Tribolium castaneum: one gene and its partners. The protein of the gene in region 2 interacts with the protein of the main gene of each other region in a pairwise test. Links are inferred from orthologs where the notes say so. Each region holds a gene or a part of one and is shown on either strand. Other genes may lie near its edges. The genes, in order: breast cancer anti-estrogen resistance protein 3 homolog, p130CAS and Pax.

The links.
Region 1: the proteins of p130CAS (region 2) and breast cancer anti-estrogen resistance protein 3 homolog interact in a two-hybrid assay, tested with the Drosophila melanogaster proteins (2 studies listed by BioGRID). The link is inferred for Tribolium castaneum from reciprocal best matches to the Drosophila melanogaster genes p130CAS and CG9098.
Region 3: the proteins of p130CAS (region 2) and Pax interact in a two-hybrid assay, tested with the Drosophila melanogaster proteins (2 studies listed by BioGRID). The link is inferred for Tribolium castaneum from reciprocal best matches to the Drosophila melanogaster genes p130CAS and Pax.

The regions. Positions count from the first base shown.
Region 1 is NC_087398.1:218,373-222,024, reverse strand, and holds part of breast cancer anti-estrogen resistance protein 3 homolog, read right to left. Parts: intron 3,622-3,652; exon of another isoform or gene 3,545-3,621; coding exon 3,484-3,544; exon of another isoform or gene 3,475-3,483; coding exon of another isoform or gene 3,397-3,474; intron 3,349-3,396; coding exon of another isoform or gene 3,268-3,348; intron 3,215-3,267; coding exon of another isoform or gene 3,077-3,214; intron 3,027-3,076; coding exon of another isoform or gene 2,946-3,026; intron 2,894-2,945; coding exon of another isoform or gene 2,750-2,893; intron 2,692-2,749; coding exon of another isoform or gene 2,492-2,691; exon of another isoform or gene 2,478-2,491; intron 1,744-2,477; coding exon of another isoform or gene 1,695-1,743; exon of another isoform or gene 1,632-1,694; intron 658-1,631; coding exon 163-657; intron 112-162; coding exon 1-111. Other genes in the region: aquaporin AQPAe.a, read left to right, coding at 1,695-1,743, 2,492-2,691, 2,750-2,893, 2,946-3,026, 3,077-3,214, 3,268-3,348, 3,397-3,474.
Region 2 is NC_087394.1:14,545,173-14,549,529, reverse strand, and holds the start of p130CAS (breast cancer anti-estrogen resistance protein 1), read right to left. Parts: upstream 2,804-4,357; 5' UTR 2,648-2,803; coding exon 2,612-2,647; intron 1-2,611.
Region 3 is NC_087395.1:17,976,745-17,981,158, reverse strand, and holds the start of Pax (paxillin), read right to left. Parts: upstream 2,894-4,414; 5' UTR 2,892-2,893; coding exon 2,759-2,891; intron 2,368-2,758; exon of another isoform or gene 2,135-2,367; coding exon of another isoform or gene 2,101-2,134; intron 2,043-2,100; coding exon 1,897-2,042; intron 1-1,896.

The DNA of each region.
Region 1 (3,652 bases), on a different chromosome or scaffold from region 2:
TTGTGATCTTTGTTTCTTGTTGGGGAGTCTCGGGGGGGCCTCTCGGGTGCTCCGCGTGGGGGACGATGAGGGCCGTGTGGGGTGTAGGGGGCTGTGGCGGTACCCCATACCCTAATGGAAAAATCAAAATTAGATAAAGCCACAGTTGCGCGTGTTTTTTACCATTCCCCCGATTGGGGTCGTTGCCGGGGAGCTCAGCCTGCTCTGGGGCAGAGGTGTGGGGTATTTGGCAGCGTAGAACGACAAGGGGTACATCCGATTTTTCGGAAACTGTATTCTGGCCCCAGACGCTGCCGTGATGGGCTTTCCCGAGCCCACATAAAAGGTGATAAGGTCGGGGACGGTGTCGAAAGCATCCTCTTCAAACTGGAATTGGACGTGTTCGTACACCGTGTCCGGCTGGAGGATGATTTTGTTGATTACAAAGTGCAAGGGTTGGGTTTTCGTTCGGCAAGTTAGGACGTAATTGCCGGGTTGGGAAGTGCAGTCCCGGACTAAAAAGCCGCCTTCCTCTCGGACAATGTCCTCGGCACGGGATCGAGGAATGGCTCCGTGATACCAAGCGTGTGAACGCAAGTCGCGACTGTCCAGAGAAAGCTCCCATTCGAGAGCTTTTTTCAGCTCGAGAGAGTTCATCGAGGGGTCCGCCGTAGGCTCCTGAAAAGAATATTTTAGTTGAAATTCAATAAATCCGGAAGCGAAGGGATATTCAATAGAGTTCGCTCGGGCGTTAAAAGTGGATTAGAAGTTTAACGCGGGGAAGGAGATTGACGACGAATTTTCATAAGAACAAATACGGCGAGAAAACGCAAACAATGGCTGAGTTGTGTTTATAGCTGTTACTGCACTGTTTTAATTATTTCGACAGCAAATCGAGACGTTACAAAATTTTTGTTGGGAAATTTACAAAAAGTATAGATAATTTTTTTCCAAATGCGGTTTAACTTAAAATTAGAACGTCGACCTTACTGGTGGAAGCTTTACCATTATAAACCACTCAAGTGTGTCTAGAAATTTTCAAACGAACAGAAAAGGTACTTAAAACCCTACATTGAACGAACGATAGTATTAAGGGCACTTTCGCATTGTTTTAGCTCTTTTAAATTCTGACTTAGCGGTTGGCTTTTCATTAAATAGTCATTTTGTTTACTCCCGAAGACACAAGAGGGGTTAAATCGCTACTCATAAAATGAATGAATTTAGTCGCTTTAATAATTCAAAAGAGCAGCTGTAATATTACAGACTTATTTTAAAAGTAAATTTTGCCACGTTCTTGTTTCCAGCACACACGATGCTACTAATACTATCGTTCGACATAAATCTCCATTATTTTTATTATTTGTTTTCTAACACAATAGGGAACAACGAACAAACTATGCAATGATTTGTTATTATAATCCGGTCTGTTGGAATTTTCTCCCAAAATGCATACAATGTTTGCGTTTTTCTCAAACAATATGCCTAATAAATCATTTGTATTTTGACGCGGTTCAGTTTCAGGATTACCTTCACATCTTTGATTGATTAAAATTAGAACGGAACAAAATGTTTCACGTTAAAGCGTTTAAAGGAATTAACCTTTGTTTTTAATCCTGATAGTGATATCAATACAAGTAATGCAATTAGTGTAAACGGCTTAATGTAATTTATTGCTATTAGTTGTGGAACTTGTTTACGACTAAAAAGAATTAATTATGAGAGATGTGGGAAATGATCATCGATTCAGTGTTGATATTCCTAAAGGTGGGTGCATAATTTTTTCTGCTGAATATAATTTTTTAAGACTTAAGTGTCAAAAGAATAAAATTATGAAGTTAATTTTAAGCTTTTTATTGCGCTGTTTCAATGATTATATTATGCGCCTGTTAAGTAAAGAGTCTGTACAGAAATAGTTGGTTATGACGTCTTATTATAGAAAAGATAAAAATTTTACTTTAAAGTTTGCATTCGCGCATACTAATGTAGCATCTGCAGCAATAACATACTAAAAGTATTGTTAATGATTTCCTTTTTGTATTTGTACTGCAGGCCAACAAAGCTAATGTTTGTGTACATGTTAATGCAAAATCGCATAAATATTTATCAAATTATCACATTGCTTGTATTTTTGTATCATTTTTTAACGCTTGAGGCAAGTCGCAAAACAATCTAAAAGGTTGCTTTCTTGGCTAAACGAGGAAATAACTTGTCTCACATGAGCAGCTTTTAGTAACGGTCGTTTCATAGCTAAAAAGTACAATAAGACTGCCTGAAATGACATTTCTTTGCTGTAGGAACAATTGAGTGCTTCTAATCTGCAGCTTTTCCCACAAAACAATCCCTATTTATTACGGCTATAGATATTTAACTTTGTGCACTCACGAGGTAAATTATAAATCGCGTCGTTACCTCAAATGAAAACAATAATTTTCCTCCAGTTAGTTTAGCAATAGTAGAACTATTCAACAACAGATAACGCCCGTAATTACAATCACAAGAACTGCCATTTCAGATTGCGATGTGACATACAACAAAAAGGGACAAACTCCGGCTTTGCTCAACGGAATGGTAATAGTATGTGCCGAATTCATTGGCACAGCTGTCTTAGTTTTCCTCTCGTGTATGGGCTGCACAAAGGGGATGTTTGGGGAAAACATTACAGTTTTGCAAACGAGCCTTGCCAGTGGTCTGTCTGTTACGACAGCCATTCAGGTAAGGTATTGGACGCAAAATGTCTATCACACTTTCAAAAGTAAAAAATTAAATTTAGATGTTCAGCCACATTTCTGGGGCGCATGTAAACCCCGCTGTCACACTTTGTGCTTTCATTATGGGCGAAATTTCCTTAACTTCGGTCCCGATTTATGTAGGTTCCCAAATTGCGGGTTCTTTGACCGGCTATGCACTTCTTAAGGTAATAAATCACTTTTTTATTAATTGTGGTGCTCTCAAGGTATTGATTCAAGGCGGTAACGCCAGATAAGCACTTGAATGTTTCTTACGGTCATTGCGTCACGTTGCCGCACGATGAAATATCGCTTTTGCAAGTATGTATTTCGATGATGATTCAAATAAAATAATGTGACGAAAATTCAAGGCATGTCTTGTGGAATTTATAGCAACGTTTATTATGGCAGTGGCAATCTGCGCCGCGTGGGATCCGAGGAATTATGCTAAAGGAGATTCGGTTTCTTTGAGGATCGGAATCATCGTCTTTCTCTTAAATATCACAGCTGTATTACTGAAATAATCTCGTTTCGAGTTGGATTTCAAATTGTTATATTTCAGGGGCCTTATACTGGGGCTAGTATGAACCCAGCTCGGAGCTTTGGGCCAACTGTTTGGAATTCCAAGTGGCACAGTCATTGGGTATTTCATGTCAGTTGGAAATAAAATTCAAACTTAATTTTTTTCAAGGTTTATTGGATTGGGCCGGTATTAGGAGCAAGTCTCTCGGGTCAATTTTACAAAATGATATTTTTACGGAGACAATAAAATACTTACCATAATGAGATTGTTTAAGCTTTTACTTTGGACTGGCTCATATACGGAGCTTAAATTCGATCTGGAACAAAAATAATTGCATTAGAAATGTAATAATTATTGGATGATACTATAAGCTTAATGGGTGATTAAAACTAATGTGGTGTTTGAAATCCTCCTTCCTCGATAA
Region 2 (4,357 bases):
AAAAATACAGATTCACAAAACAAGAACTAATAAACGCAGAATCAAAAACCTAACGAAACGCAAATCACAAAACATAATAAACGAACAGAAAATACTTGCGATTAACACCGATAACACTTTCGACAACCATGCGACGACGTCTATATTTTACTGTCAATGTCAGTTTGACAAATTCGTGACACTTGACGGTGTTGTCGAAGTGCACATCTAAATTAATGTTCAAGGATACCACCCTTAGATAGCCCTTAGCTGTTTAAATTTGCATTGTTTTTGATAATTTTTTATAGCTTTGTGTTGGTAATGAAAAAATGAAATTGATGACGCACACGCAAATCGAGCTGACCGCCGCTATAAGTCACTATAAGGGTTGTGGACAAACAATGATGAAACTTAGTTTACATACTTTGATAGTCCAAAACTATGTATTTAGCTTACGAAAAAAATGATAACAAGTATAAGAGAACATAATAAATTTAGCTAAAAACTTTCAAAAGAAACACTCAGAATTAAAAAATGGACGATTTTGAAATTTTTAACAACTTATTAGCCGCAAAAGTTTAAGTTTTTTAATGTTGAATGTCTTAATACGTTGTCCTTTATCTAGAAACATTATTATTTTAAAGAATTTGAACAAAAATAAACCAAAAAATCACTGAATTAAGTCAAAAAGACGTTCAGTCAAATACAAAAGTGAAGTCAGATTTTTTTCAAGCAATATTTTCTAATTTGTTTTCCTTAGCAACGGTATCGATTGTTGCTCTCTTGTTTCCTAGGATGTTGAATATATTTATTGTCGAATTTACCAGTTAAAAATTTAACAATGAAGAAAAAAAAGTCCATTTTTTGTCATCGGAACTTTTAATTCAGTTTGATGTCCTTTATCAGCACGTGAGAGATTGTACGGTATTTTTGAATCACCCTGTAGAGTGTTTTTCATATTTTGTATTTTTTAAGCATTTTAGCACAATTTTCGGTCAGAAATGTCGCAATGTAAACTTTTGGCAAAAATAAACCGAAAGTCATTAAATTACATTCTAAAAGGGGAAAATTTTTGTATTTATCAGACGTTTATTAAGACATTTTTTTGTATAAAGCACTAACTAAACAATACTGGACAATAAGATATATTGCATTAGTTTTGTGAATAAGATAATTTATCTGGTTCCTAAAATTAACTTACGGTACTACATAACTTTTTATTGTATCCATTGTAATACTAATGCTCTTTTAAAATTGTCATTGTACATACATAATGTGCAGGAATTTTAATAAAATTAGCAGTAGTTGTGATATTAATTTTCTTTCTTTTAATTTCATACAAAATCTAATATTTCGGGTTTTTCGGGCATTAGGTTAATTAAATGGTAGGCAAAATTCAAAATTAATTATTTGTTTTTTTTTTACTTGTCTTCTTACCTTTGTATTGTTTCTAGTTTTAGTTTAAATACAAAACGTTTATTTAACTTAATTTCATTTTCTGTACTTGGGTGATTTACCTGTTGAAAATTAATAAATTATTATTATTATTAAAAACTGAAAAATCACTATGAATTATATTATTTTGCCGATTTTGTAAAATATTTTAGCTATGGCATGATGTTATATACAGCGTGCTCAAAAACTGGCGCACCAACTCAATGGTGTGTAGTAGAGAAGTGGTTACATATAATGGTAAAAATAGTAAAAAAATTCTTTGTATTAAAGTTATTGATAAATAACTAATTTTAGGTAAATGATATGTGGCAACGTTGTCTAACAGTCATGATCGTAATAGAATTTGAGCAACAATAAAAATAAATTATTTTTGAAACGGTTTCCTAGGAAATAATTCCCAGTGTTGGCACATCTACACATTGTGATTTTTTGGATGAATTTTAATTTTTTTAAATTAAAAAAACTCCTAAAATCTGATCGTAAATTTTAAAATAATTATTCATCGATTACCTGGTATGAAACATAAAAATATAAAAAAATAATGAATACTAAAGAAGTTAACACAATAAGTTTGTAGCTCCAGATTTTTTAAAATATAACTTTAGGAATTTTTTCAACATTTTTCCCGTAATCTGCACTTGCTTCTCAATAACGTACCACTGAGTTGGTGCGCCAGTTTTTGAGCATCCTGTATATTTGCAATTTTGATTGTAGTGTAGGTTCATGCAACACAGGACGGCAGAAATCGATTGCAAACTCCCGGTGCAGTCAGCTATGTAATATGTGATTTTGAATAATCAATGCAAATTCATGCCTACATGCCACAATAGTTGAAGTAATTAAAAAATCAATATTTGCATATAAATTTCATTGTGTTAGAAGACGATTTAGAGCACAGAGCAAATGCTTATTGGAAGTATAAATACGGAAACATTTTGTCCATCTCAACACTTTTATCACAACTTATCTAATCAAGCACTTACAAAATGTAATACACATCAGTAAAATGGTAGCAGCAAAACGCCGTTGGTACTTTTTAAAACAGTAATACAGTCAAGGCAAAGCTATATTTATAAACTTTATTTAATAATAACATTAATATTATACAAACATATGATTATAAACTTGACAGTGAAGTATGATCGGAAAAATTGTAATAAATTGCATAGCTACATACCTGTGAAGGAGGCAAGTTATCCGTTGGTTGAGGCATTTTGGAAATAACACGAAACTTAAAAAAACACAGAGAAATAGAGAAAAACCAAAATAAAGGTAAAGTTAAGTAAGGCCCAACTTGAAGAATACCATCACCTTCTCCACTCCCATGCAGCTACAAACCAACTAAACTGGAAATAGTGTTTCGTGAATCATTCGTGGACTCGGCTGCAGATCGTGGAACTGAGCATGCACACAAACATTTATTGATCATACTGTAGACGAGTTTTTCTACACAACCATAACTGGCTATTTGGAGACTTCTGTTCCGTATGGTCCAGCGGAGAGAAGTGGCAGCAGCATCATCCGTGACCACAGTTTATTGCATTTTTAATTGTATCGTTTATATTTTTTTCCCTCGCCCATACAATGAATGGATGGTATTAATTATTAATTTTCCGTTGGGTGATGCGATTTTTAAGCTTGGCGGATGTGGGGGCTGCACCGCACCCTGGCGGCATGTCAAAGGGGGCGGTTACGCAATCTGCAATATGAGAAGGGCGCCATTTGGGAACACCCCTGACCTACAAAACGATTTTCGGTTTGTACCAAGAATTGTGATCGCAAAATAAACCGAAAAATCATTGAATTATGTCAGTAAACGGTTTAACTAATAAAATAAGATTGCTAGTGGAGCAATGTTTGCCTTTTTGGGGTGTTATTTATACAGTTTTTTTTAGTCAGCTTAATTATGTCTCCAAAGTTTCTCAAAAATGTGCAGAAAGTAGTAAAAACAGTATTATTTCGTCTTTTTCTTAAACACATTTTTGAACTAAAGTTCGGAACGAGATCAGGAACAAAAAAAACGCAATTAAGTCCAAAGTGAAGTCTAAAACTAGAAAAAACAAAGCCGCAAAATCGCTTAATCAGGTCAATTTATTTTATTGTTTGTTACTTTTTTTCTATCAGATACTTAATTATGTCATAAAATTTATAAAAAAATTTCTATGAAACTACTATAGTTTGGTTAAAAAAAATGGTTATTATTAATAATTTTTTATTATTTTAAAATAAGGCTGCCTCAATAATACTCGTACGTGTCTATATGTGTGTCTACATTATTCTTCCTTTTTTTGCGTGTTTTAACGCTTTTTGCTATCAGAAACGTAATTAATTGGAAGAATTTTGATAAAAATAAGTTCAATAATACAGAATTATTTAAAAGTACCGGACAATCTCTCGGGTGCTGATAAAGGACATCAAACTGAATTAAAAGTTCCTATGACCAAAAATTGATTGAGCCTTTTTTCTTCAAATTAAAATTTTTAAGTTATATTGGTGCTTCAGATAATATTTTTTTGTCTTTAGTTAGTAGAAACGACAGCTCTTGGAACATTAAACAAATACCTGTTGAAAAAAATTAACAATTAATGTCTTATGATGTACAAAACAATAAAAAAAAACTTGCAAATTTGACAATAAATTATATTCCACATCATAGGAACAAAAGAGCAAAAATCGATACCGTTATTAAAGAAAACAAATTAAAGAATATATCAAAATTAAGTTGCTTGAAAAAAATCTGACTACTTTCATTTTTGTGCTTAACTGAACATCTTTTATTACCACAACGTGTATACCTGTATCGTTATTTATTTATTTGATCGCTAAAAAGTATGGATACAGCTAAATTCTAGGTGCGCAACCTTATCGCGCACCTAAGAAAATCGCGATTTCTAATTAAATAAAAAAGTATTGCATTCTACAC
Region 3 (4,414 bases), on a different chromosome or scaffold from region 2:
TTTAATTTAATCTGCTACAGGCCATCAATTAAAATCGAAACGTTGCTAGAAAATAGTATTTTTTTTTAGTGATAGTCCAAAAAAACGTCAAATCGGTACCTTTTCTTCCACTTAAACTTTCTGAAACTAAACAAAATGGACAAGAACACATTAGAAATAAACATTTTTTTTTAAATAATTTATTAATAAATGTATTACTTCTTGTTGGATTTCCTTGGCGTGGAAACTAAAATAAACAAAGTTTAAAAAACCCGACACACCAAACCTTTATTAAAAACACTACGCGTTTCAACCACAAAGTGGTCATCCTCAGGTGAGAATATAAACTCTGAATATAGGAATATAAGAATATAGTGCAAAAATTATCTCTTAAACTATATTTAAAAAAAATGTTCAGAAAAAAGTTGTAGACAATTAAATTTTTTTTAGAAAAGTCCGCGAAACCATGTCCATGTCTTCAACCATTTTGGCCCCAAAGTCGTTCAAAGACACTCAAGCGATATATTTGCTTCATTTTAGAAGTTTTCAGGTATTGGAAAGTTATTTACACCTAAACCGTTGACGATAGAAATATGAAAAATTTAATTCTTTAGAACCTTGTTCCTTCAACTTTTTTGTATTTTCAACCGTATTCGCTTCGTTTGCAAAAATATAAGGTGGAACGGAAACTGATAATTCTAGGCGATAATTTTTTAGGCACCGTCGCCTATTTATCAAAACGTTGTGAATACGGTTTCGAAAAACGTCCGATTTACACTCACACTCGTTAAATAAATAACTATTAAATATTTTTGTCTCATGTTTCTCATGATAATTTTAGTCCTCAGTTTTTCTCAGTCTGTTGAGAATACAAAGCTCAACATTTCTGCATTTTTTTTCCAAGTAATTAGTGAACTGGTTGAATTTCAATTAATTTAAAACGATTTGACACCGAGACGGTATAACTCTCGAAGCGCCCTTATTTTACTCTGCCCTACTATTTTTTATTATTATTTATTTATTTTTTTTGATTCAGAAAATCCTACGATTTTGTATCTCGTTTCGTCCCATAAGTTATAGTCCTTCGTAGTCCAAACACTTATTAGAATTGGCTTTTTTATTTCGCAACCGTTAAGAACTAAATTCGATTTTCAATACAGTAAATTATTAAGCTAAAAAAATGTCGATTTTGATAGAAAATGAAGTTTTTTTTTGTTTGTTTTCAGCGATTACTTCAACATTTCGTTAAAAACATGCTAAAACATTAGTAATTTTTAACACGTTTTTGATGTAACAAACAAAGCTTTTTCAAAAAATTACCGTTAAAATTAAAAAAACACTCGATTTCCTTAATTAGGAAAATAGAAAAGATTCATTAATTTTCTTTAATTATATTTTATATGAACTGAAACTGACGTTATTTAGCTTGTTCCACTCGAAAATAAGCCAAAATCCTCAATAAATTTTGTTGAAGATGGTGTTATTTTTTCTTTTTCCGTGTCTTCAGTACGATTTTGAACTAAAATCTCAAAATCTATTGCAAGATTACGCTGTTAATTAGTTTACTTGTGCTGTTTCCAATTGTTTTCGCTCGGTTTTCAGTCAGAACCGCAAACATTTCGCAAAATTTTGCCAGAGATTACACAATAATTACACCAAAATTTCCGAAAAGAATATTTTTTCTGCCGCATCTATAAATACAACATCAAAAGGTGTCGCCACACACAAATTACAAAACAAGCAAACAGTTTTCAAACGACCGGACGTTTTTGAATACATCTCCATCTAGAACATCGTAATTTGTGACTGTGTTATTCTCGAAATAACTTGCACCAGCATTTCCCAGATGGCGCAACTAATCGTTTACGCGGTTCCGCCAAAACAACGCTTTTGCCAAAAACCAAAAAAACAACTTACCGATCTAACACCATACGAATCGACTCTTGAGGCTGGACTTTCAGCCCCCGATTGTCGTCCATCCCTGGACGCATTCAAGGACCCGTAACCGGAGCTGCTCCCGCCACCCGGAGACACGGTGTTTTGAAGATCGGCCAAGAGAGCATCTGCAATAACACGAAAAATCAACAAATTTAAAAAAACAACTCAAAATTGATTTTGTACCGAATTCGGCGTACGGATTTCGAGTCACGTCCATTTCGTCCGAGCTTAGTATAATTAATAAATCGGTTGGTGATTGAAAGAAATTGGACAAAATGAGTCAATTACTCGAAATTAAAACCGCCAAGCTGATAAAGGATGCGTCACAATTTGGGGAAAACGGTGTTATCACACGGAATACGGTTATTAATAAAACACGGTGGTGGCACTGATTAGTAAGAACAGCAATGCAGACACATCCTTGGGCTGCAATTAACTGAATCGAGCAGTTGTATCAATAATGGACAAACATGCAATTCCTTATCACTGTAAGGCAAACAAACGATAGGCGGAAATTTGCAATACTGCAATCGGGCGATTTTATTTACATATTTTGAAATTCTTTTCGCGTGACCCATCGATAATCGATCACATTTGTTGTTATTCGAGTTATGTCGATTACATAAACAAATTTGTTTTAGTAAAATTAGTTCGGCCTTGAGGACCATTTATGCGCCGACTTATTTTTGTTCAAGACGTAATCGTGGGCTTGCCCCTCAATTAACAAATGAATTGATACGTCAGTGCGCCCGAATGATTGCCACCCAGGACAATAAAATAAAAAGTCTTGGCGCATTTTTGATTTTGTTCGTTTCCAGTGGCCACGTGACCGCGTACTCACTTAAATATTGCTCCCATTCGGCGTGCGATTTAAACCTCATCACTTTCCGCTTCCGCTCCAGTGTCGTCGGAGGCGAGGGGTCGAAAGTGACCGTTTTGGGTGAGGGCGTCCGCGTGCGCAATTTAGCACTCATTTCGTTTTTCCAACACGAAGCGAGAAAAAAACAATAGTTTTGGGAAGATCCCGACTATGACTAACTGTTGCACCCGCGAGTTTTGGCAAACCTGGACGTGTCCGGTTATAAATAGACCACTTGCGGAATCACGAAAACTCCACCTTTTCCACCTTACGTAAGTGGCATTTTCGCGAAATTTTCCGGAAACGATTTGTCGGAAACGTCAACGCTAAGACTGAGGTAAATTTAGACGATGCGTGTGTCTCCACGATCGACTGATTTAGAAAATCGTCCAAGGATTCAAATACGTGCGAGTTACAACTTTTTATTGAAAAAACCTACGATTGTTAAACCTACGCGCCGGTTATGACCGTGGACTTTTACAGACATTGCGTACTTGGAAAACATAATTGGAAATAAAAACAGGTGAAATCAAAAAATAAATGCCACACATTTCATTCCTTTATTTAGCACTCTCTTGAATACAAATTTAATCAAAATTGCGACAACATGAAATCATTTTCCTAACAATACTGTGGAAATGACTCAAGTTGCTCGGTGGTTTGGCTTGTTTTTAAAAGTTCTTGATAACTCGACTCTAAGACTTCACACAAAAAATTGTCACGTACCAGAAAATATCGTTTCTAGATGGCTTTTGACAGAAACTCAATAATTCCTCAATTTTAGGTTTTGTAAAAACAAAGCTGAAATCGCAAAATTATATCTGTTTCTGTTAACTCGAACCGTTTTTCGGCGAAAAATTCACAAATTAGTCCAACCATCGATGCTTTCCCCTGTTTTGCTAAATTGATTAGAATCCTTTTTACCAAGAAATTCAAGTCAGAAGTCGCAAAATATAGCTGCAAATATTATTATTCTCTATTTTTTATAAATTTCTAACGAGTTTTTCACCCAAAAAACAATCGCATAATTAGATCTAGAATTCGTTATTTCCGAGCGATTTGCAATGTTTTTCAAAAAGAATTTTACCAAACAAGACAAGAATTATACCTTCGTCAATTTCGACGTATTTTCCTAAAGAATATACGAAAATGATCATCCCAATTGGCCTATTTTTTAGTTTTTTAAAGCATTTTTCATTAACAAACTCAATATCCACACAAATGTTGTTTCTCTAATCAGAAAAAATACGCTTCAAACTTGCTATTTTCGCCGATTTCGCTCGCTTCAGAACGTTTTTCGAGACAAACAAGTGTGTCTTTTACGGAAAAATTCTCAAATCTCTAGGAAAATCGTCAGAACAAGCCGAAAAATCGCAGATGTAATTTTATTTTTTTTTCGACTGTTCAGATCAAAGAGCCGCTCAGGAAATTATTATTATTATTAATTCACGAAGATTTTGCCAAAACGAGACAATTGAAACATCAGGGCTGTAATGTGATGCTTTTAACAGTTCTGTTCAACTTACAGTCATTTTAAATACATTATTATCAATATAGTTTACTAAAATTTTTCTTTCAAAAGAAATTCGACCAATTATGTCCACAGTTTATTATGTCTGGTTATCCGATTCCCTTGTG